Linked DNA regions of Macaca fascicularis. The protein of the gene in region 5 purifies or fractionates together with the protein of the main gene of each other region. This does not show direct contact. Links are inferred from orthologs where the notes say so. Each region holds a gene or a part of one and is shown on either strand. Other genes may lie near its edges.

What was found.
Region 1: the proteins of ACTR3B (region 5) and ARPC3 purify together in Homo sapiens (affinity purification with mass spectrometry; 6 studies listed by BioGRID and IntAct, counting the BioPlex papers as one, with this or other methods). This does not show direct contact. The link is inferred for Macaca fascicularis from reciprocal best matches to the Homo sapiens genes ACTR3B and ARPC3.
Region 2: the proteins of ACTR3B (region 5) and ARPC4 purify together in Homo sapiens (affinity purification with mass spectrometry; 5 studies listed by BioGRID and IntAct, counting the BioPlex papers as one, with this or other methods). This does not show direct contact. The link is inferred for Macaca fascicularis from reciprocal best matches to the Homo sapiens genes ACTR3B and ARPC4.
Region 3: the proteins of ACTR3B (region 5) and ARPC2 purify together in Homo sapiens (affinity purification with mass spectrometry; 6 studies listed by BioGRID and IntAct, counting the BioPlex papers as one, with this or other methods). This does not show direct contact. The link is inferred for Macaca fascicularis from reciprocal best matches to the Homo sapiens genes ACTR3B and ARPC2.
Region 4: the proteins of ACTR3B (region 5) and ARPC1A purify together in Homo sapiens (affinity purification with mass spectrometry; 5 studies listed by BioGRID and IntAct, counting the BioPlex papers as one, with this or other methods). This does not show direct contact. The link is inferred for Macaca fascicularis from reciprocal best matches to the Homo sapiens genes ACTR3B and ARPC1A.
Region 6: the proteins of ACTR3B (region 5) and ARPC1B purify together in Homo sapiens (affinity purification with mass spectrometry; 5 studies listed by BioGRID and IntAct, counting the BioPlex papers as one, with this or other methods). This does not show direct contact. The link is inferred for Macaca fascicularis from reciprocal best matches to the Homo sapiens genes ACTR3B and ARPC1B.

What each region holds. Positions count from the first base shown.
Region 1 is NC_088385.1:117,318,444-117,321,943, reverse strand, and holds part of ARPC3 (actin-related protein 2/3 complex subunit 3), read left to right. Parts: intron 1-1,806; coding exon 1,807-1,906; intron 1,907-3,500. UniProt on the Homo sapiens protein: Component of the Arp2/3 complex, a multiprotein complex that mediates actin polymerization upon stimulation by nucleation-promoting factor (NPF).
Region 2 is NC_088376.1:148,058,615-148,062,114, reverse strand, and holds part of ARPC4 (actin-related protein 2/3 complex subunit 4), read right to left. Parts: intron 1,531-3,500; coding exon 1,412-1,530; intron 1-1,411. UniProt on the Homo sapiens protein: Actin-binding component of the Arp2/3 complex, a multiprotein complex that mediates actin polymerization upon stimulation by nucleation-promoting factor (NPF).
Region 3 is NC_088386.1:114,116,463-114,120,722, forward strand, and holds the start of ARPC2 (actin-related protein 2/3 complex subunit 2), read left to right. Parts: upstream 1-1,460; 5' UTR 1,461-1,526; intron 1,527-1,745; 5' UTR 1,746-1,753; coding exon 1,754-1,827; intron 1,828-4,260. UniProt on the Homo sapiens protein: Actin-binding component of the Arp2/3 complex, a multiprotein complex that mediates actin polymerization upon stimulation by nucleation-promoting factor (NPF).
Region 4 is NC_088377.1:47,947,416-47,950,915, forward strand, and holds part of ARPC1A (actin-related protein 2/3 complex subunit 1A), read left to right. Parts: intron 1-1,215; coding exon 1,216-1,291; intron 1,292-2,422; coding exon 2,423-2,616; intron 2,617-3,500. UniProt on the Homo sapiens protein: Probably functions as a component of the Arp2/3 complex which is involved in regulation of actin polymerization and together with an activating nucleation-promoting factor (NPF) mediates the formation of branched actin networks.
Region 5 is NC_088377.1:194,085,913-194,089,412, forward strand, and holds part of ACTR3B (actin-related protein 3B), read left to right. Parts: intron 1-2,893; coding exon 2,894-3,037; intron 3,038-3,500. UniProt on the Homo sapiens protein: Plays a role in the organization of the actin cytoskeleton.
Region 6 is NC_088377.1:47,963,766-47,967,743, reverse strand, and holds the start of ARPC1B (actin-related protein 2/3 complex subunit 1B), read right to left. Parts: upstream 2,801-3,978; 5' UTR 2,749-2,800; intron 1-2,748. UniProt on the Homo sapiens protein: Component of the Arp2/3 complex, a multiprotein complex that mediates actin polymerization upon stimulation by nucleation-promoting factor (NPF).

The DNA.
Region 1 (3,500 bases), on a different chromosome or scaffold from region 5:
GAATGGGACCCATGTTGTCTTATAAAAAGCCAGGCATCTTGTAAAAAGCAGAACTAAGAATCAGCATACAGAATGCTCTCATAAATGTGATTTTTTTCTCCCTTCCTTTAACTCACACTTACCCACTGAAGGGAATATATATATTCTCATTTTACAAATTTGGAAACAAGCTAAGAGAAGAAGAATGATGCCTTGGTCAAAGCATAACGCCAGGAAGTGGCAGAGCTGAAAAGATAGTGCTTGGGTCTTGGTTTAGCTGGGGGCTGGGTACCCTGATTTATATGATGTTTGTCTTTCTGTGGTGGAAATACTTTGACCAGATACCAATGTGATGTCACCAAACATAGAATTGGAAGAGATGCACAGCAGCACCCCATTATTTAGTATTTCGTAATAATAACTTTAAGAACATGACAATAGGAAAATGTAATTTTTAAAAATTAGGTTATTGCCGGGCGCGGTGGCTCATGCCTGTAATCCCAGCACTTTGGGAGGCTGAGGTGGGCGGATCATGGGGTCAGGAGTTTGAGACCAGCCTGACCAACATGGTGAAACCCTGTCTCTACTAAAAATACAAAAATTAGCTGGGCGTGGTGGCTCGCACCTCTAATCCCAGCTACTCAAGAAGCTGGGCGGGAGAATCGCTTGAACCCAGGAGGCGGAGGTTTCAGTGAACAGAGATCGCGCCACTGCACTTCAGCCTGGGTGACAGGGCGAGACTCCGTCTCAAAAAAAAAAAAAAAAATTTAGGAAGTAGGCCAAGTGCAGTGCAGTGGCTCACGCCTGTAATCCCAACACTTTGGGAGGCCGAGGCGGGCGGATCACCTGAGGCCGGGAGTTCAACACCAGCCTGGCCAAAATGGAGAAACCCCTTCTCTACCAAAACTACAAAATTAGCTGGGCGTGGTGGCACATCCCTGTAATCACAGCTACTCAGGAGGCTGAGGCAGGAGAATCGCTTGAACCCGGGAGGCAGAGGTTGCAGTGGGCCAAGGTCACGTCATTGCACTCCAGCCTGGGCAACAAGAGCAAAACTCCGTCTCAAAAAAATAAAATGTAGGCAGTAGCTGGGTGAGGTGGCTCTTGCCTGTAGTCCCAGCCCTTTGGGAGGCCGAGGCAGGCATATCACTTGAGCTTAGGAGTTCGAGACCATCTTAGGCAACATGGTGAGACTCCTTCTCAAAAAAAAAAAAAAAAGAAGTAGTGATGAATATTTAAGCATCATTGGTTTTAACATCATTTACTTTTTTTTTTTTGAGACAGAGTCTCGCTCTGTTGCCCAGGCTGGAGTGCAGTGGGATGATCTTGGTTCACTGCAACCTTCGCCTCCTGGGTTCAAGTGATTCTCCAGCTTAGCGTCCCAAGTAGCTGGGACTACAGGCGCACACTGCCACGCCCGGCTAATTTTTTGTATTTTAGTAGAGATGGGGTTTCACTGTGTTGCCCAGGCTGGTCGCGAACTCCTGACCTCAGGCAATCCGCCTGCCTCAGCCTCCCAAAGTGCTGGGATTACAGGCGTGAGCCACTGCGCCGGCCAACATCATTTACTTAATTGTAAGTTTATATAATTTGATTTTTGAGAACAGCTGTGTTTAACAACCAGCTTGAAAAATGCCTCATAATTTAACAGTTGGTTTTCTTGAGCCAGAAAGAACCAGCTCTAGCACCTCAATGCTGCTATCCCTTCTCCCTCCCCTGATTAATCTTGGGTGGGTTACTCTTTTTTTCCTTTAAGGAAAGGTTGTTTGCCACAGTGACATTTGCTCTCTTTCTGCTTCTGTGTTCTTCCTGGGCTTGCCATTACAGGCTTACCACTCTTCTCTCATGGATCCTGACACCAAACTCATCGGAAACATGGCACTGTTACCTATTAGAAGTCAATTCAAAGGACCTGCACCCAGAGAGAGTAAGTCTAAACCCATTATTTTCAAATTTTGGCATGAAATGCCTAACAGTCTTCTAAAATGGTCAAATCAGGGAAATTCTTAGCTCAGTCTTCTCTCTCAAATTGTCCTTGTACTTTGGTAGATATTGTGGTCTAGACCTTTCAAGATAGTGGTTATATGTTGCATTTAATAGGAAATTGTATTATTTCTTCTGACTTCTCCAGGAAACTCTTTTGAGAAAATGGAGGAAATGTGCTTAATTCTGGACACTGTTTATCAGTTCTTTCAAACAAATCTAATGCTGTTATGTCTAGAATGCCACATGCCCATCCTTTCTGTTATCAACCTGGAAGAAAACAACAAATATTTTGACCTCTTCCCCGTCTAAATCTACTTCCTTTATTCATTCTTCAAGATCTTCATTTTTAGCAATACCTCAATCTTAAATCTGAAGTATACTATGTAACATTACTTATGTCTATTCCTGCTTTTCTGAGTTTTATTTCAGAAAGCTGCAATATTTTTCAGACACTGTCTGAGACTCTTCTGACGCTTTCTGAGATGTTCTTCCAACAGTATTATTTGTATTATATTAGACACGGTTTCCCTGTACCCTGCAAGGGTCTGAACTGAATTCCATTCATGGTTTCTAAGACCATTATTATAATTATCAATTTGGTACTGATCCAATTCCCATTTCTCTGCCAGACTGTTTGACTTGACCTTTTTTTAACTTAATTTTGTTTTCAACACCATTTGAAAGCTCAGTAAACTTTATAAATATGGTGAGTCACCACAGTCTCTACTTGATTCTGAGGAAAAGGAACAAGGAAGAAGACAACCTGAGAGAGAAGAAAAATAACATAAAAGAAAATCACAGGGCTGGGCGCAGTGGCTCACACTTGTAATCCCAGAACTTTGGGAGGCCAGGGCAAGTGGATCACTTAAGGTCAGGAGTTCGAGACCAGCCTGGCAAACATGGCAAAACCCCATCTCTACTAAAAATACAAAAATTAGCTAGGCATGGTGGTGGGCACCTGTGATCCCAGCTACTCAGGAGGCTGAGACAGGAGAATTGCTTGAACACAGTGGGTGGAGGTTGCAGTGAGCCAAGATTGCACCACTGCACTCCAGCCTGGGCGACAGAGTGAGACTCCATCTCAAAAAAAAAAAACAAAAATTACACTGCAAAGGCCAGGCGTGGTGGCTCACACCTCTAATCCCAGCACTTTGAGAGGTCGAAGTGGATGGATCACCTGAGTTCAGGAGTTCGAGACCAGCCTGAACAACGTGGAGAAACCCCGTCTCTACTAAAAATACAAAAAATTAGCCAGGTGTGGTGGCACATGCCTGTAATCCCAGCTACTTGGGAGATTGAGGCAGGAGAATCGCTTGAACCTAGGAGGTGGAGGTTGCAGTGAGCTGACCTGGGAGGTGGAGGTTGCAGTGAGCTGAGATCATGCCATTGCACTCCACCCTGGGCAACAAGAGCAAAACTCTTGTTTCAAAAGGAAAAAAAAAAAAAAAAAGAAAAACACCTGAATTGGAATGGAGGCCTGTGCTGTGAGCTAAATAACAGTATTAATCACACTAATTCATTTATATTCAACAAAT
Region 2 (3,500 bases), on a different chromosome or scaffold from region 5:
TACTTTTTTTTGAGATGAAGTCTTGCTCTGTCGCCAGGCTGGAGTGCAGTGGCACGATCTCTGCTCGCTGCAAACTCTGCCTCCCGGGTTCGAGCAATTCTCCTGCCTCAGCCTCCTGAGTAGCTGGGACTACAGGCGCGCACTACATGCCCAGCTAATTTTTGTATTTTTAGTAGAGACAGGGTTTCACCATGTTGGCCAGGATGCTCTCGATCTTTTGACTTCGTGATTTGCCTGCCTCAGCCTCCCAAAGTGCTGGGATTACAGGCATAAGCCACCGTGCCCAGCCTCTTTTACTTATTTTTTGAGACAGGGTCTCACCCAGGCTGGAGTGCACTGTCACGATGTTGGCTCACTGCAACCTCTACCTCCCAGGCTCAAGAGATCCTCCCGCCTCAGCCTCCCAAGAAGCTGGGACTACAGGCATGTGGCACCAAGCCCAACTATTTTTGCATATTTTTTTGGTAGAGATGGAGTCTTGCCATGTTGTCCAGGCTGGTCTTGAACTCCTAGACTCAAGCGATCTGCCCACTTCAGCCTCCTCAAGTGCTCAGATTAAAGGGGTGAGCCACTGCACCAGGCAATGGCTTGCACCAGCCATTGCACCAGATTAAATTTTAAAGGGGAAAAAGATATTTATGAAATGGAAACTAGATAAGAGAAAATCATTCAAAATGTGGAGTATTTGGATTAGGGTGTCAGAGTGTCTAGACTGGTAGGTACAAAAAAATCCCTGATCATTACATTAGAAAAGTATGGAGATGGCATCTCAAATAACTAAATTATCTGACTATTCCTTAAACTACCAGTGTTTTCAACAATGCCACAGGAAAGACTTCATCAACAGCCCAGCTCTGAGAAGTCATACCTTGTGTCAAGCAATCTTGTCTTTTCCCCTGGGTTCTGTCCTGCCAACCCACTGACCCTATTTTCCTTTTTTTTTTTTTTTTTTTTTTGAGACGGGGTCTCGCTCTGTCACCCAGGCTGGAGTGCAGTGGCCGGATCTCAGCTCACTGCAAGCTCCGCCTCCCGGGTTCACGCCATTCTCCTGCCTCAGCCTCCCGAGTAGCTGGGACTACAGGCGCCCGCCACCTCGCCCGGCTAGTTTTTTGTATTTTTTAGTAGAGACGGGGTTTCACCGGGTTCGCCAGGATGGTCTCGATCTCCTGACCTTGTGATCCGCCCGTCTCGGCCTCCCAAAGTGCTAGGGTTACAGGCTTGAGCCACCGCGCCCGGCCTGACCCTATTTTCTTAACTCCAAATTGGGAATCACCATTCAGCTGGCAGCAAGACAAAATGTCAACTGCAGCTGTCCTGACTACTCTGGGACATAAGTTCACGGCACCTTCTTGACAGCAGCCATCTCTGCGTGCCACACCCCTCATCCCCACCTTGACTTGTCCTTCCCTACCTGACTTCCACTTCCGGCTTGTTGTGTCGTTCCACAACCTGGGAGGAGAAGTTCTCCAGGCAGAGGGCAGCCTGCAATGTGGCCCGCACGGCACTCAGGTAGGGGCGGAGAGTGGCAGTCTATAGGAAATAACACAAAGGGAAGGGAAGATCAAAATCTGTCATGCCAAACCCACTGATCCCCTATTCCAGCTCCCATGAAGCCAGGTAGCACTGAGGGTGCAAGGCTCTTAAGACACCACTGTGAACAGAACAAACTAGGCCTTCGAGACGCCTTCCAAGGTGCAGTCATGGTTTTCAACAGGAGGCAATTTTGCCTCCCAAGGTACATTTGGCAATGTCGAGATATTTCATTTCTTTCTTTTTTAACCTGGGGTCACACCAGAGGAATGCTGAGACATTTTCAACTGTCATGACTTGGCGGGGAGGCGAACTGCAGGCACTGAGTGGACAGATATCCAATAAACATACTACAATGCACTACAAAGAATTATTGAGTCTCAAATATCAAAAGTGCTGAGGTTGAGAAAGTGATCTAGAGACATACCAGTGAATGCATGATTGTCTTCAATCTATTAGGCCAACAAATGTATATACTGTTTGCCAGGCACTGAGCTAACTGGGAATTCAAAGATGATTAACACTGTCTCTACCCTCAAACAGCTCAACTGGATAGCAGATATACAGAAAATAACTATGATATAAAGATAAAATGTTGAAATATTTAGATTTACAAGTAATCTATATTTGCAGAAGAAACTGGTTTTGAAAGTGAAATGGGATTAGGAGGATTTTATAATGAGAAAAAGTAGAGTAAGGACATTCTTTTTTTTTTTTTTTTGAGACAGACTCTTGCTCTGTCACCCAGGCTGGACTGCAGTGGCACGATCTCGGCTCACTGCAAGCTCTGCCTCCTGGGTTCATGCCATTCTCCTGCCTCAGCCTCCCAAGTAGCTGGGACTACAGGCGCCCGCCACCACGGCTGGCTAATTTTTGTATTTTTAGTAGAGACAGGGTTTCACATGTTAGCCAGGGTGGTCCTGATCTCCTGACCTTGTGATCCACCAGCCTCAGCCTCCCAAAGTGCTGGGATTACAGGTATGAGCCCCACACTCGGCTAGAATAAGGACATTCTTAGTAGAGGGATTAGCTTCTAGATGTACTGGTCAGTCCTTATATCAGCCAAATTCTTTCCCACCTCAGGGCTTTACACATGCTTGACCATCTATTTGTAGGCTTTTTTCCTCTTTCTTTGCCTAGGTCATCCTCCAGATCTCAGCTTAATTAAGGAAAGCCTCTTAGGCCTTCACTTCCGCCTACAAAGCATTTATTACAATTTACAATAAAATGTCTTTCATATCTTTTTTTTTTTTTTTTTGAGACGGAGTCTCGCTCTGTCACCCAGGCTGGAGTGCAGTGGCCTGATCTCAGCTCACTGCAAGCTCCGCCTCCCGGGTTCACGCCATTCTCCTGCCTCAGCCTCCCGAGTAGCTGGGACTACAGGCGCCCGCCACCTCGCCCGGCTAGTTTTTTTTTGTAGTTTTAGTAGAGATGGGGTTTCACTGTGTTCACCAGGATGGTCTCGATCTCCTGACCTCGTGATCCACCCGTCTGGGCCTCCCAAAGTGCTGGGATTACAGGCTTGAGCCACCGCGCCCGGCCTTTCATATCTTTTTAATTTTTATTTATTTATTTTGAGACAGAGTTTCGCTTCTGTTGCCCAGCCTGGAGTGCAGTGGCGCGATCTCTGCTCACTGCAATCTCCGCCTCCTGGGTTGAAGCCTTTCTCCTGCCTCAGCCTCGCGAGTAGCTGGGATTACAGGTGTACACCACCATGCCCGGCTAATTTTTGTATTTTTAGTAGAGATGGGGTTTCACCATGTTAGCCATGGTTGTCTTCAAATCCTGACCTCAGGCAGTCCGCCCACTTCAGCCTCCCAAAGTGTTGGGATTACAGGCGTGAGCCAATGTGCCTGGCCTTTATTTTTTTTTTATTTTATTTTTGAGACAGAGTCTCACTCTGTTGCCCAGGCTGGAGTGCAGTGGTACAATCTTGGCTCACTGCAACCTCCACCTCCCGGGTTCAAGTG
Region 3 (4,260 bases), on a different chromosome or scaffold from region 5:
CCAACACAGTGAAACCCCATCTCTACTAAAAATACAAAAAAATTAAACGGGCGTGGTGGCAGGCACCTGTAATTCCAGCCACCTGGGAGGCTGAGGCAGGAGAATCACTTGAACCGGGGAGGCAGAGGTTGCGGTGAGCCGAGATCATGCCATTGCACTCCAGCCCGGGCAACAGTGCAAGACTCTGTCTCAAAAAAAAAATAATTAATTAATTAAATTAGCGTATAATTTTGGGGGATCAGCAATATCCTGAAGTTCATCCATAGCCCGTTAAGTAATGTTTCAAAGGACTATCTGTGCCTTAATGATAGGAGCTAGTTTCTTGTTCATTTTTTTATCCCCACCCCAAACACGTAACAGAAAATAAATTATTTCCTTGTATGTGGAAGGGACTCAGCTAAGTTTATTACATTCTCCCCGGAGGAGGGAAAACACAAAACAAGGCACTAAGGCAGATGGTGCGGATGTAGCACAAAGAGGAGTTAAGATTCCGCACTCAGGTAACAAGGAGGGTGTATCTCTGCCAGAGGTACTGGAAGGTTTCAAAAGCAGAAAAAAATGCGTTCTGGACACCTGGACGTAGAATTGGAGGCATGACAGAAACACAGGGAGGCCCATCTAAGTTGCCTATTCACCCAGGTGACCTCTCATTCCTTTCCTTAATTGTCCTTTTAACAATACAGGGAATTTCACGCAAGGAAAGTGTCCTCTTCTCGCCCCAGCGGGCAAGGGGGTTCCTCCGGCGCAAGTTCCGGCCCCAGCTACTCCCACGTCCCACAGGTCTCCTGCCTTTTGGTACGTACACTCCTGACCACTCGCTGCTTCCGCATCCCTACTCTGATCCTCTCCCCATGCATCTCTACCTCCTTACACAATTGAGAATTTTATTGTCTGTTTCCTCTACCAGACTATAAGTTCCACGAGGGCAGGGCCTCATCTATTTCATTTACCACTACATCCCCAGTATAGAGCAAGAGCCCATGAAAATGTTTGTTGGAGAAATGAATGTCTGATGGTGTCGCTGGACAGCTATACCTGGAAAGAAAAAGAGGCACGCCCAGCAAACAAGCTGGGAGCAAAGAAGCCCGCTGGGAGACTACAAGGGCGAGCTTCTTGCGAGGTCTCTGAAATGACAAGACCGGAAGAACGGAGTTGGATCTCTGGGACAAGCGGGAGTGAGAACCTGGACAGTCAGGCAAGCCTCGGGGAATGACAGCTCCGCGGGGGACGCACTGGTAGGCTGTAGACGTAAGGGGGTCTGTGAGAAAGTAGAGGGTGGGGTGGCGGCATCAGACATACGCAAGCGCAGTCTCCGTTTCCTCCGGCGCGCCTGCGCTCGCGTTCACGAGGGGTTGAAGCGGAAATGGCGCCGCGGGGCCGCGCGTCCAGGCGGCGAGCGGAAGTGGGTGTGAGAGCGGAAGTGGCCGGCTAGAGCCGGGGGCTGGGCGGGGACTGGACTTGTCGGTGAAGCGGCAGTGGCGGCGGCGGCGGCGGCTCGGCAGGCGGGTTCAGGCTTTGGGGGCCAGGTCGGTTGGTTGGTTGGGTGGGTGGGTGTCTCCACAGTCTGCGTGCGTGGGCCAGCGCGTGCGTCTTACCCTTCCCTCCATCCCGGCCCCTCTCCCCTTCTCCCCTAACCTCCTACCCCACCCAGGTCCCTTCAGGGGGCAGCAGGGCCGCTTCCTCCGTCCTTCCCTACCTTACCCACCCTCACCGGCCCTTGTTTCTCCTTCCCCTGCTCGGGGCAGCCGCCGCCATGATCCTGCTGGAGGTGAACAACCGCATCATCGAGGAGACGCTCGCGCTCAAGTTCGAGAACGCGGCCGCCGGGTGAGCGCGCGCCCGGGGCCAGGGGTGGCGGGGGAGGCAGAGTTGACCCCAGCTAATCCCCAGTGTCGTCCAGTCCCCCAGACCTGGAGGAGAGAAATGGGGTGCCTGGCAGGGTGTAGGGGCTGCCCCAGCGGGGTAGAGGTGGGAGGCGATTGGGCGCGGCCGGGCGAGGGGCAGAGATGCGTGGGGAGAGGCTCAGAGGAGGGATGCGGAAGCAGCGAGTGGTGAGGGCTGTGCGTGCCAAAGGGCAGGAGACCTGTGGGACGTGGGGACGCTGGGGCCGGAACTCGCGCCGGAGGAGCCCCCTGCCCGCTAGGGCGAGAAGGGGACCCCTTCCCTGCGTGAAATTCCCTGGCATTGTTCTGAACCCAGAGAGAGCCTGTTTGGAATTGGGTTGGAAGGAGTTTTCAGGAATTCCCAGGACTGGAGGAGGAAAGGAGATGCAGGCCCACGTCGCCACCAGCATTCTCGTTCCCCGCTGCCGTCTGCTCTAAAAGGAGCAGAAGAGAAGACTGAAAGCCAACCCAGTCTTAGAGCCGGAAAAACGCGATCTCTGGTTTCCCTTTCCCGAACCCTTCTGTGAGAGACACTGGGCCATTTTGTTACATAGTTTTCAAGCAAAGCTAATTGTCCCTTGCTCCACACCCGTTCCTTATCTCTCCTTTGAGGTTCTAATGCTCTCTCCTCGCCCACTAGCCTTTATCTGGTTATCTTGTAAATTCTTACATCAAGACCCTTGGTCTGTGATTTCTTCCGTGGTAGCCTTGGCCCAGTTACACACTTCAAAGCCTCCAGAATCTATAAAGTTCTTAGATAACCTCTCTTTACAGTTGGACTTTTTAAAAGATGGGCTTAGGTCGTATTTCCAAGGCAGCCTTCTCTGCCAAACACAAGAATCAGTAGAAGACAACCTCCTCCTCCAAAGCTGCTTTGCTTTTCTAATATATTTAAAACATGAGCTAAGCGTTTTGGGTTCTAATTTTTGGTGGCCTATGGCCAATCCCCTTGCCTCATTTCCCTATCTATAAGCATGGGGCTTCACATCTGGGTTTCACAGTTGAGGAAATAAGAGCAGACTGTTTCTGGTGAACTGGGAGCTAGTAATAGGAAACTACTTGGAGATCCACAGATGGGAAAAGATTGGTAGAGGGGAATTTTTAAGTGGTCATAATGTACTTGTGGCTTGGAGGCATTAAAAAGTATTAACTACCATTTAAATTGAATATATAGTATGTCCTGTCTCCTTTATAAGGCAACAGATTTTATCTGTAAAACAAAGCACTACTTTCCTTGAAGTAATATGTGTAGTGAGCAGTACTGTTTCCTGCCAGGGGCTGCAGTTGCTTATATTTTAGGCTGACTTGCTGCTTTCTTGTCTTAGCCTCTCTTACCAGTTTCTTTGCATTTTAGATATTCAAATGAATCAGCCCAGAGTCTTATTTTGGGTGATTGCTGTATACTTTTTTCTGAGCAGTGTAGCACATAGGAGGAAGTTGAATTAACTTCTGCATTTTCATAACTGATCTTAATGCATTCTCAGGTCCAGACTAGCAAAGAATGAGACCTGGGCGGTTATAAACTGATCTACAAGATAAATGGCTGTGTATTTGCAAGAAGAGGCATGTCTTTTAACATAGGAGTACATTCTCGTCTATTTGTGTATTAATGACTTGTGATTCCAAAATATGGCCCATTATTCGGAACTTCAGTTCTTTCTTCTTCTTTTAAAAAGTTATTCTTAAAAGAAGCAGCTAACCATTTCGGAGGGATTAAATAGGCCCTCAAGTCTGGAAGAAAAACGTTAGGACTTGCAGGACATTTTTTTTTTCCCCCCGAGACAGACTCACTGGCTGGAATGCAGTGGCGCGATCTCTGCTCACTGCAACCTCGCCCTCCCAGGCTCAAGTGATTCTTATGTCTCAGCCTCCCAAGTAGCTGGGATTATAAGCACGCGCCACCACACCCAGCTAATTTTTGTATTTTTAGTAGAGATGGAGTTTCACCATGTTGGCCAGGCTGGTTTCAAACTCCTGGCCTCAGGTGACCTGCCCACCTCGGCCTCCCGAAGTGCTGGGATTACAGCACCGCGCCTGTCCTCATTTTTTACAAAGATTTGCATTGTAGGGAACTTGTATGGGGGTGCACTGCTGTGTGTGCTTGTGCACATGTACGGGTGTGTGTGTGTATAAATTTAGGCTTTCATTCTGGCCCATCTCCCTCTTTGAGATTTGGTTTTCAATAAGGCAGCTCAGAACATTCTGCTGAGAATTTGAAACTTTGAAAGTCTTTTAAAAGACCACAATATCCTGCCTAGTAGGCAGGGCTCTCCTGGGATTACAGATATATCACCCAGCAGAAGCCCGAATGAAGCAAGCGGAAATTACCAGGCATCCCAGTAAGGTAAAGCAAGGTGCATGCCTATTCCAGAACTTC
Region 4 (3,500 bases), about 150 Mb from region 5:
TTTCCAGTCCTGCAAGTCAGATTACATGCTCCACCCTTCCACTCCTCCAACATAAATATCTCATGTAGTAAAAGTCAGGTATACCACACTAAGGGCTTCAGATGACACATTAATTCTTCAATGGCAACTTTATGAAGGGCGTCCTGAGACATGTACAGTTAGCTTTTATTTTGTTATTATTTAGAGAGACACTCTCTGTCGCGCAGGCTAGAATGCAGTTCTGCAATCATAGCTCATTACAGCCTTGAACTCCCGAGCTCAAGTGCTCCTCCCAACTCAGCCCCTCAAGCAGATGGGGCCACAGATGTGCACCACCACGCTAGGGTAATTTTTTTTTTATTTTAATTTTTCATAGAGACTGGGTCTCACTATGTTATCCAGGCTGATCTCAAACTCCTGCCTCCAGCAATCCTTCCGCCTCAGCCCCTCAAAGTGCTGAGATAACAGGTGTAAGCCACCACGCCCAGCCAGTCAGCTATTGAATGCATCGTTTCTTGCATGAAGTGAGGTGCTCCTAACTCATCAGCCAGTGTGTTTGCCTGCCATATCTGTGTAATCTCTTTGCCACACTCAAGAGCAAATAACTACATGCACACACGTGTCCCTGCACGCACACATACACACACACGGCCCATTCGAGTGCGAGCTCCTGGCTAAGACCATTTGGTTCATTTTGGTGGCTCTAGTTGCTGACACAGTGCCTGGCCGTCAGCACAGATGTGTGTGGCCACAGCCGTCTCGGAGCTCCGGGGAGCACAGGCAAGGAGAGGGTCCTAGCACAGGTGTTTGCTGCCAAGTCATAGTAACAGAAAGAGCTCTAGGAGCTAAGAGCAGGGAGAAGCTGCTTTAGGCTGCAGTGGCCTCTGGGAAAGTGGACCGTGGGATCATGGGGGTGATCCCTTTAGAGCTGTGCTGGGGGTCGAAGGGCGTGGGCGGAAAGACAGGGCTTTGGGAACCAGTTTGTCATGAGTGGGCGGGGTCTCAGAAGCAGGCGGGAGGAGCCCAGGCTGGAGCTGGAGCCGGAGCCGGAGCCGGAGCCCAGGGCCACCCCTGGCTCAAGAGGCCTGCAAGTTGAGGTCAGAGGCTCCTTTTCAACATAAGTGCCCGTTGATACTGCAGAAGCCCCTGTGAGAATGGGTCCTTTGTTGTCATCTGTGTCTGTAAAGAAGCTAATAGTCTGTTACATCTTGGGATAACAAACGTTCTTGTGTTTAGGGTCTCAACTCTGAAGACGGAGTTCCTGCCGCTCCTGAGTGTGTCATTTGTCTCAGAGAACAGCGTCGTGGCTGCTGTGAGTATTTTTCTTCATTCTCCCTCGGGGTGCACTGTATGTGATGCTCAGACAGGGAACAATGTGTGCTCTGTCACCCTAGCACAAAGCAGAACAGTTTTTTGTTTTTTGGTTTTTGGTTTTTTTTGAGACAGAGTTTCGCTCTTGTCCAGGCTGGAGTGCAGTGGGTGATCTTGACTCACCGCAACCTCTGCCTCCCGGGTTCAAGCGATTCTCCTACCTCAGCCTCCCGAGTAGCCGGGATTACAGGCATGTGCCACCATACCTGGCTAAATTTGTATTTTTAGTAGAGATGGGGTTTCTCCATGTTGGACAGGCCAGTCTCAAACTCCCGTCCTCAGGTGATCTGCCCACCTCGGCCTCCCAAAGTGCGGGCGTGAGCCACCGTGCCTGGCCTTAGAGCTCACTCTTTTTTTTTTTTTTTTTTTTTTGAGACGGAGTCTCGCTCTGTCGCCCAGGCTGGAGTGCAGTGGCCGGATCTCAGCTCACTGCAAGCTCCGCCTCCTGGGTTTACGCCATTCTCCTGCCTCAACCTCCTGAGTAGCTGGGACTACAGGCGCCTGCCACCTTGCCCGGCTAGTTTTTTGTATTTTTTTTTTTAGTAGAGACGGGGTTTCACCGTGTTAGCCAGGATGGTCTCGATCTCCTGACCTTGTGATCCGCCTATCTCGGCCTCCCAAAGTGCTGGGATTACAGGCTTGAGCCACCGCGCCCGGCAAGCTCACTTTTAAGAGTAAGAGCAGGTGGGGCACGATGGCTCACGCCTGTAATCCCAATACTTTGGGAGGCCAAGGCAGGTGGATGACCTGAGGTTGGTAGATTGAGACCAGCCTGGCCAACATGGTGAAACCCTGTCTCTACTAAAAACACAAAAATTAACCAGGGCATGGTAGCGCACATCTATAATCCCAGGTACTTGGGAGGCTGAGGCAGGAAAATCACTTGAACCCGGGAACCAGAGGTTGCAGTGAGCTGAGATCGTGCCACTGCACTCCAGCCTGGGCAACAGAGCAAGACTCAATCTCAAAAAAAAAAAAAAAAAGTAAGAGAGGCCTATCATGGTGAACACTCTGCCAAGGAGCTGGGCGGTGGGCAGTGTGTCCTCCAGGGACTGACTGAGTCTCGTTTCAGGGCCATGACTGCTGCCCAATGCTCTTCAACTACGATGACCGCGGCTGCCTGACCTTCGTCTCCAAGTTAGACATTCCAAAACAGAGCATCCAGCGCAACATGTCTGCCATGGAACGCTTCCGCAACATGGACAAGAGAGCCACGACTGAGGACCGCAACACGGCCTTGGAGACGCTGCACCAGAATAGCATCACGTAGGTGCCGTCTGTAGAAAGGTGGTCAGGTGACAAGGTGCCCTCCTGCCCCTCGCTGTTTCCTTACTGGGTTCCTACAAAAGCTCTATGCCCCGCAGGCCCAGGCATTCCTTCAGGGACAAGTGCAGCAAGAAGTCCGTATCTTCCCGACTGCCAGGCTCTCATTTCCAGCTCGTGATAGGGAGAGAGTCGCCACCACCTGTCATTCTGTCCTTCAAGGTGCAGATTACAAGGCAGCAGCCAGCAGCAGCAGTGCAGACCCTGTTGCAATCCGAGGTGGTGGGGCTTCAGGGTAACCGCTTCCTAGGGCACCCTTTCTCAGCTACTCAAGAATGAAAGGAGACTTTCTTGAATGCTGTGTTCCCATGGTAGTGCACACATAACAGAAAGCGAAGTTACAGCCTGTTTGAAAAGGTAACTGTAACTGTCATTTCAAGTAATGGATACAAAAAGAAGATTCTTTAATTAAAGAAACAATTTCTTAGCATCATGATGACAAAGCTGAGGAGTGTTTCAACTGGGTTTTCGTAGGGTATATGTAATTATGTAAGACAACAGAATTGTGTTTTGTCCAGAAAGTTTGATTTTTATTTATTTATTTATTTATTTATTTTGAGACAGAGTCTCACTCTGTTGCCCATGCTGGAGTGCAATGGCACAATCTCAGCTCACTGCAACCTCCGCCTCCCGGGTTCAAGCAATTCTCCTGCCTCAACCTCCCGAGTAGCTGGGATTACAGGTGTGTGCCACCACACCTGGCTAATTTTTTGTATTTTTACTAGAGACGAGGTTTCACCCTGTTGGCCAGCCTGGTCTCGATCTCCTGACCTCAGGTGATCCGCCCACCTTGACCTCCCAAACTGCTGGGATTACAGGCATGAGCC
Region 5 (3,500 bases):
CAAAAAGAAAAGGTTATTTAAAAGCCAAGAATGGGAGATTGTACATTTTGGCTTGCAGAAGGCTCTGCAATACCACTTTTTGGTTTTAGATAAGTGATTCCTAATTTGGGTCTCAAGAGATCTCTGAATTTTTCTTTTGGTCCAATGGACTGTTTAAAGGAATTATCTTAAATTCATGTTTTTGGAAAATGTATCGGAAGTGTCTGAAGAAGGTATTCAGAGGGAAGTCAGACTCATCCTGGTCTTTCTCCTGTGAGGTCTCCTCCTCAGGAACCACCATTGCTAGTTACTTCTGTTATGTTACAGATGTGTTTCTGCATGTGTATATGGGGGTGTGTGTATGTGTATATTTTTACATACACACACAGCTCTTTTAAAATGCAAATTAGGATTTTCAAAAACCATTTAATTGAAAAAATAGTCACCATTTCATTTTGAGAGGTGATGGGATGATGTACTAATACTAATGCCTTTAATTCCTTGAAGGTTAGGAATCACTGCAGTGGAAAGGCTTCATGGTCCATGTGCCTACAGTCAGGGAGAAAAAGGCCAACCTCCTGCACCCATGCCTTGTACTCCTGGCCATGGTCCTTCCCGTGGGGAGGAGAGGTGGCTGCCCTGCCCTGTGAAGTGTGCTCTAGACTTGAGCCTCCTTCAAGCCAGTCTCAGCACTCCTGTCCGTGGATCTCGAGAAGAGTTAGTGCCCTGGGTGCAGAGCCCTCATTGAGAACTCAGGCTGCTGTTTACTCAGAGAGCTGCGCTGCTGAGATCCAAGATGAGGCCCCTAGGCCCCTGGCCTGCACCGCCTTTGGTTCTCTGCCTATTTCTTATGTCTGATTTAGGAAAAGGGAAGAAAATACATTTCACAGCATGTCCAGGCCCACCAAGAAAGTTGTTTGAAAAGATTTTTTATCGTATCTTAGTTCGGTTTTTCCCCCAGTTATAAAAATTACATTGTCATTGGAAATTTAGATAAAATAGAAAAATTTGAAGAAATAAAATTACCTGTAAAGCCACCCAAAGACCTGTATTATGCCTTTATTTGTATAGTCTTTAAGCTCTTTTTCTTTTTTTTTTGGAGATGGAGTTTCACTCTTGTTGCCCAGGCTGGAGTGCAATGGCACGATCCGGCACACTGCAACCTCTGCCTCCCAGATTCTCCTGCCTCAGCCTCCTGAGTAGCTAGGATTACAGGCATGCGCCACCATGCCTGGCTAATTTTGTATTTTTAGTAGAGACGGGGTTTCTGCATGTTGGTCAGGCTGGTCTCAAACTCCCGACCTCAGGTGATCTGCCCATCTTGGCCTCCCAAAGTGCTGGGATTACAGGTGTGAGCCACCGTGCCCAGCCTGAGCTCTTTTTCTAAGACACATGTCACACGCACACACTTAAAACACAATTGGAATGTCTCATGTCTGGTCTGGGATTCTATATATAATACAATCCTAAAGTTATATTTTGCATATTGATTTAACCCTAATTTTTTTCTCTTGTGGTTAAATATTCTGTGAAAATACATTTAAGAAGTACATAATATATTTTTCTGTTGTTGGACATGTATCTTGTTTTAATATTTTTACCACTGTCATGAGCTGATATTTATTTAACAGTATTTTAGAAAATATTACGTGTAATGCATAGAATGTGGTAATTTTGAATAATTTATGTGTTAGAAAGCTAATATTATTTTTATGGGTTTAAGTTGATTTTTAATAATTTGTACATATCTTTTAGCTCCGTCTTAAAATACTTTACAAATACTTGGACTCTACAGAAAGGCTAAATCCTTTTTTGCTTCTAGAAGTTAGGTACATCAGAAAAAAACCATAGGAGGAATTCAGTAAGTTGTCCTTGCAACTTTACTGGTGACTAGATGCAACTATTAGAATGAATACGTGTGTAAAATGAAGTCAGCGTTTCACTTCTGTTCCCTTCTGTCTCACTTGGGGAGTGTGGCACAGAGGCTGTGATTGCTGTAACGTGAAACCTGAGGGTCTTTACCGGATGATCCAGCGGTAGGCGTTGTCCACTCTGATGGTCAGCATCCTGCTCACCCCTGTGGAACAAGCTGGATGTGTGTCCAAGCTTGTGGCTCCTGTGGCAGGTCTGTGCCCACAGGAAGGCTGATGAGGGAGCTTTGGACCCATCATTGCTGTGGGCATGTGGATACTTTACACCGGTCCTGCCATTGACAGCACAGGTGGTGGTCACCCTTCTTTCCTGGTCCCTCACAGACATACCTTCACTGGCTCAGGGAGGCAGTGGAATGAGAGGCTCCCCACCCCCAAAAGCAGTGCTATGTGCTCGACACACACAGTTTCATCTGAACTGTGTTATTGGCCCCTGCAGGGTATTGTTTGCCCCATATGATGGACAAATGCGCTGAGGCTGAAGCATGTGAAACTTGCAAATGTGGAGCCGGAATTGGAGTCCAGGTTGTTAGAATCTAAGCCCTGTGTATTAACCAAATTGCTGACTTTGAAACATAAGTAGATTTATAGTTGGCTTAACAATTTATAAATAAAACTTTTTCCTTTTTGTTAGGGAAAAAACCTATTGGGTTTAGTGTTCCCACAGACAGCATTACTTTTTGGAAATGAACTATCCCGTGTGTTTTTTCTTTTCATATTCCTAACGAAGACATCATTTTGGTTGCTTTCGGAGAGCGTCAGATTATTGGAATAATCTGGAAGTTTGAATATAAATGGAATTGCGTATGCAGTCATTTCGAAAGACCTTCTGTGCCGAGCTTGCAGAGGGTGGGGATTCTGTAAATGCTTGTTAATGCTGTGAGGGGCAGACAGGGAGGCTGAGACAGGAAACCTTGTGAGTCCAGGCTGCTCTCCACTACAGAATCAGTAACACAGCTGTTTTGCCTCCTCTTCTTCCCTAGGCAGAAGGTTATGTTATTGGAAGCTGCATCAAACACATCCCGATTGCAGGTAGAGATATTACGTATTTCATTCAACAGCTGCTAAGGGAGAGGGAGGTGGGAATCCCTCCTGAGCAGTCACTGGAGACAGCAAAAGCCATTAAGGTAAAAACAGATGGGAAACCGGCTGGTTTGGGGGTGAGAGAGATGGTGTTCTGGACACTTCCCCTCGGTGCCGTCATCCCTGCTTCTCCTTTCCTTCCTCTCCCCTTCCCATGAGTGTGGGGCTTGATTTGTTTTACCCCTTGGGTTTAGTGGGCTGAAGATGTAAAGCTTAACCTCTTCCAAACTAGATGCTCTGAGGTTCCAGCTGTCAGTGAGAACAGCTTGGTAGCTGGTGCAGTGTACCAGCATGCAGAGGCGCATTGTTCAGCTGGAACCTCACTGCCAGAGCCTCAACTACCAGAGCGCTCCTTCCATACTGCCTCCATGCTTCGCTGTAGAATCAGGAGGCGACTGCAGCAGCAGAACACTGCCACCCTAGAATCCAGAGCTATTGCACAAAATTCACACACAGGTGTGGGTGTGACGTGTGGCCATAAGCATCTCCTTCCTTTACTGCACAGTT
Region 6 (3,978 bases), about 150 Mb from region 5:
CCAGCCTGCCCAACATGATAAAACCCTGTCTCTACTAAAAATACAAAAATTATCTGGGAATGGTAGCAGGCACCTGTAATCCCAGCTGCTTGGGAGGCTGAGGTAAGAGAATCACTCGAACTCGAGAGGCAGAGGTTGCAGTAAATTGAGATTATGCCACTGCACTCCAGCCTGGGCAACAGAGTGAAACTCCGCCGTCTCAAAAAAAAAAAAAAAAACACCTATAAGGCAGGCATGGAGGTCCATGCCTGTAACCCCAGCACTTTGGGAGGCCAAGGCAGGAGGATCACTTAAGGCCAGGAGTTTGAGGCCAGCCTGGACAACACAGCAAAACCCCATCTCTACTAAATATTTAAAAATTAGCTGGGCATGGAGGCACATGCCTGTAATCCCAGCTACTCAGGAGGATCCCTTGAGCCCAGGAGTTTGAGACTAAAGTGAGTTATGATCAAGCCATGGCACTGCAGCCTGGGCAACACAGTGAGACCGGACTCCAAAAAAAGAAAAAGACCTATCAATGGATTACGTACAGACATATGTAAGAAACGAACTTTACTGGCATCTGGCAAGGCAATTTTACCCAGAACTTTCACCATTCTCTCTTTTACACCCTGAAGCAAGCCTGGACATTTTTTGTTTGCTTTTTTTTTTTTTTTTTGGAGACAGAGTCTCACTCTGTCCCCAGACTGAAGTGCAATGCCGTGATCTCAGCTCACCACAACCTCCACCTCCCGGGTTCTAGCGATTCTCCTGCCCACCACCATGCCCGGCTAATTTTGTATTTTTAGTAGAGACGGGGTTTCACCATGTTGGTCGGGCTGGTCTCAAACTCCTGACCTCAGGTAATCCGCCTGCTTCGGCCTCTCAAAATGCTGGAATTACAACCGTGAGCCACCCACACCCAGCCTGTTTGCTTTTTACCTTCAGTTTGTACCAGAGGAAACCCAGCCTGACAAAGGCAATGATTTGCTCAAAGTCACTCGGCTCCTACTAAATGACGAAACTTGGGACTCTGACCCCACATCTTGGAGGCCAGGAAGTTAGTTTCACCTGGGGGCACACTATGATCAAGGTGAGCAACAAGCACACGTTTATACTGTCAGCACCTGACACGCTGCCAAGTGTCCTGCAGTATTGCATTGCAGCCTTACAATCCTTAAGGTTCCCATTTTCCAGATAAGGAAAGTTGAGGCTGGCAGGGGTTGGGTAGCTTACCAGTCACTGGCCAGTGAAGGGAGAAGCTGGCACTCCTACTTAGATCCCTAAGATTTTATTTATTTATTTATTTAGAGATGGAGTCTCCCTCTGTTGTCCAGGCTGGAGTGCAGTGATATAATCTTGGCTCACTGCCAAAGCAAGTTCAAGCGATTCTCCTGCCTCATCCTCCCGAGTAGCTGGGATTACACGTATGCACCACCATACCTGGCTAACTTTTTTTTTTTTTTTGAGTTGGAGTCTTGCTGTGTTGCCCAGGCTGGAGTGCAAATGGCGTGATCTCAGCTCACGGCAACCTCTGTCTCCTGGGTTCAAGCTATTCTCCTGCTTCAGCCTCCTGAGTAGCTGGGATTACAGGTGAGCGCCACCATGCCTGGGTAATTTTTATAATTTTAGTAGAGACGGGGTTTCACCATGTTGGTCAGGCTGGTCTCGAACTCCTGACCTCAAGTGATCCGTCCACCTCGGCTCCCAAAGTGTTGGGATTACAGGCATGAGCCACAGCGCCCGACTGCATTTTATTTATTTATTTTAATAGAGAAGGGGTCTCGCAGTGCTGTCCATGCTGGCCTCCAACTCCTGGCCTCAAGCGATCCTCCCGCTTGGGCCTCTCAAAATGCTGGGATTGTGTGTGTGAGCCGCCGCGCCCGGCCGGGATGGGTGGTGGTAGCCTCCGGGCTGCACTGGCAGAGGAGGCAGGGGGAGGTCTGACTCCCCAGGGCTTGCCCTCCTGATCTCTTCTCTGCCCGCGGGTGCAGCCCGGCCCAGCCCCGCCCCGCCCTGGGCGGCCTGGCTGCTCTCCCTGCGCCTCCGGAAAGGGAGGGGCTGCCCGGATCTGCCCTGGCCGCGGAGCCCCGCAGCTGAGGGGTGCGTTCCGGGACTCCACCGGCCAGGCCCGCCCTATACGGGACCCCTCGGACCTGGCCCAGGGGAGGCGGTTGGGAGCAGCGGGAGCGGCCAGGAGGGCTGGGGCGGGGCGGCCGGGGACGCCAACTCATTTCCCGGCGGCTGCAACCCGGAAGGCTCCGGGATGGAGGGGAAGTGACTGGGCGTGGGGCTCCGCCGGCCCGAAGTAACGGGGCTACACCGACCGACCGCGGGGCAAGGCCGGGGATGCGGGCCCGGGAGCAGGGGCGGAAGGCACGAGGTGGAAGGCACGAGGCGGACGCTCGGGACCGGGGGCTGGGGACGCCCCGAGGGCGCCCGGTGCGCGGGGAGCCCGCGTTTCCACGGCCTGGCCCTGTAGCCACCCCCGCGCCCCCTCCAATCCCAGGGTTCCCTCTCCTTTCCGCGAGCCCCCCGTCCCCGCGCCCCCTCCTCTCCGTGCGCCCTCACTCATCCCCGTGCCCCTATTGGGCGGCGCCCCACATCCATGCGTCCTCCTCACTTCCAGGCGCCCCCCGGCCCCCTCCTTGCACCCCCTCTCATCCCTCCCGTCCCGCTCACTCCCAGGCGGCGCCCCACATCCACGCGTCCCCCCACCTCCGGATGGCTCCCCCGACCCCCACCTCCCGGCGCCCCCGCGGCCCTCACCTCCCGCGCCCCGGCCGCGGACTCTGGGCAGTCGACGCGCCGAACCGGCTCTGGGCTCCGCGCCGGAGCCGCAGCCACTTCCTCGTGGGCGGGGGGCGGGGCCTCCCGACCTCAGCCCCGTAGGGCCCGGGGGCGGGGACCTGGGGCAGCGGTCGCGAGATCCAGGTCCCGCCCTCCCTTCGGGGTGGGGGTGCTGCCAGGACCGGCGCAGACGTCGGAGCCTAAGGCTCTGTCCGTAGAAGCCGTCCGCAACCTCCCGTCAACGCTTTACCAATGGGGAAACTGAGGCTGGGAGCCAGGCGCGCAGCCTAAGCTGCCGCTGGGCTAGACCTCCGAGCCTGGGCCGGGCGCACGGCCACCGGGGGCTGCCGGGCGCAGGGTCGGGGAGTCGCGTCCTCTGAGCCCGGACGGCGGGTACTGCGGGCTCTGCGCTCCCACGCAGGTGAGCGGCTGGCGAGCCCCGCAGCCCCGTCCCCAGCCGGCGAGGAGCCCCCTTCACGCTGATACCCGCGGGGCGCCAACTGTGCAGGCCTTGGGCGGGGCGCAGGCGGTCGGGCATGGCCAGGGCAGCCCGGCCCCGCCCCCTCGGCCCTCGGTGTCGTCGCCACAAAACCGGGGTGCCGTCCCCGGGCAGGGTGACACTGGCTGCCTGTGCTGACGCTGGCCGGCCAGCTAACTTCTTTCCTTTCTGTTTCACGTCAATCGGCTTCACTTCTTAAAGTTACCGGGTTGGCCTTGCAGCCACCTAATTGCGGGTCTTGAGCCAGGTGGTCCCTGGAGTCTCCCCATCCTGACCCTCTGCCTCTTCAGTGAATACGTGCCCAGGCGGCCAGACACATGGAAGAGCCACCGATGAAAACCTTCCCTCGGCTAGTCGCGGTGGCTCACGCCTGTAATCCCAGCACTTTTGGAGGCCGAGGCGGGAGGATCATGAGCTCAGGAGATGGAGATCATCCTGGCTAAGACAGTGAAACCCCGTCTCTACTAAAAAATACAAAAATTAGCCAGGAGTGGTGGCGCATGCCTGTAATCCCAGCTACTCGGGAGGCTGAGGCAGAAGAATCGCTTGAACCTAGGAGGCGGAGGTTGCAGTGAGCCGAGATCGCACCAACACACTCCAGCCTGGGCAACAGAGTGAGACTCTGTTTCTTTTTTTTTGTTTGTTTGTTTTGTTTTGTTTTTTGAGACGGAGTCTCGCTGTGTCGCCCAGGCTGGAGTGCAGTGGCGCGA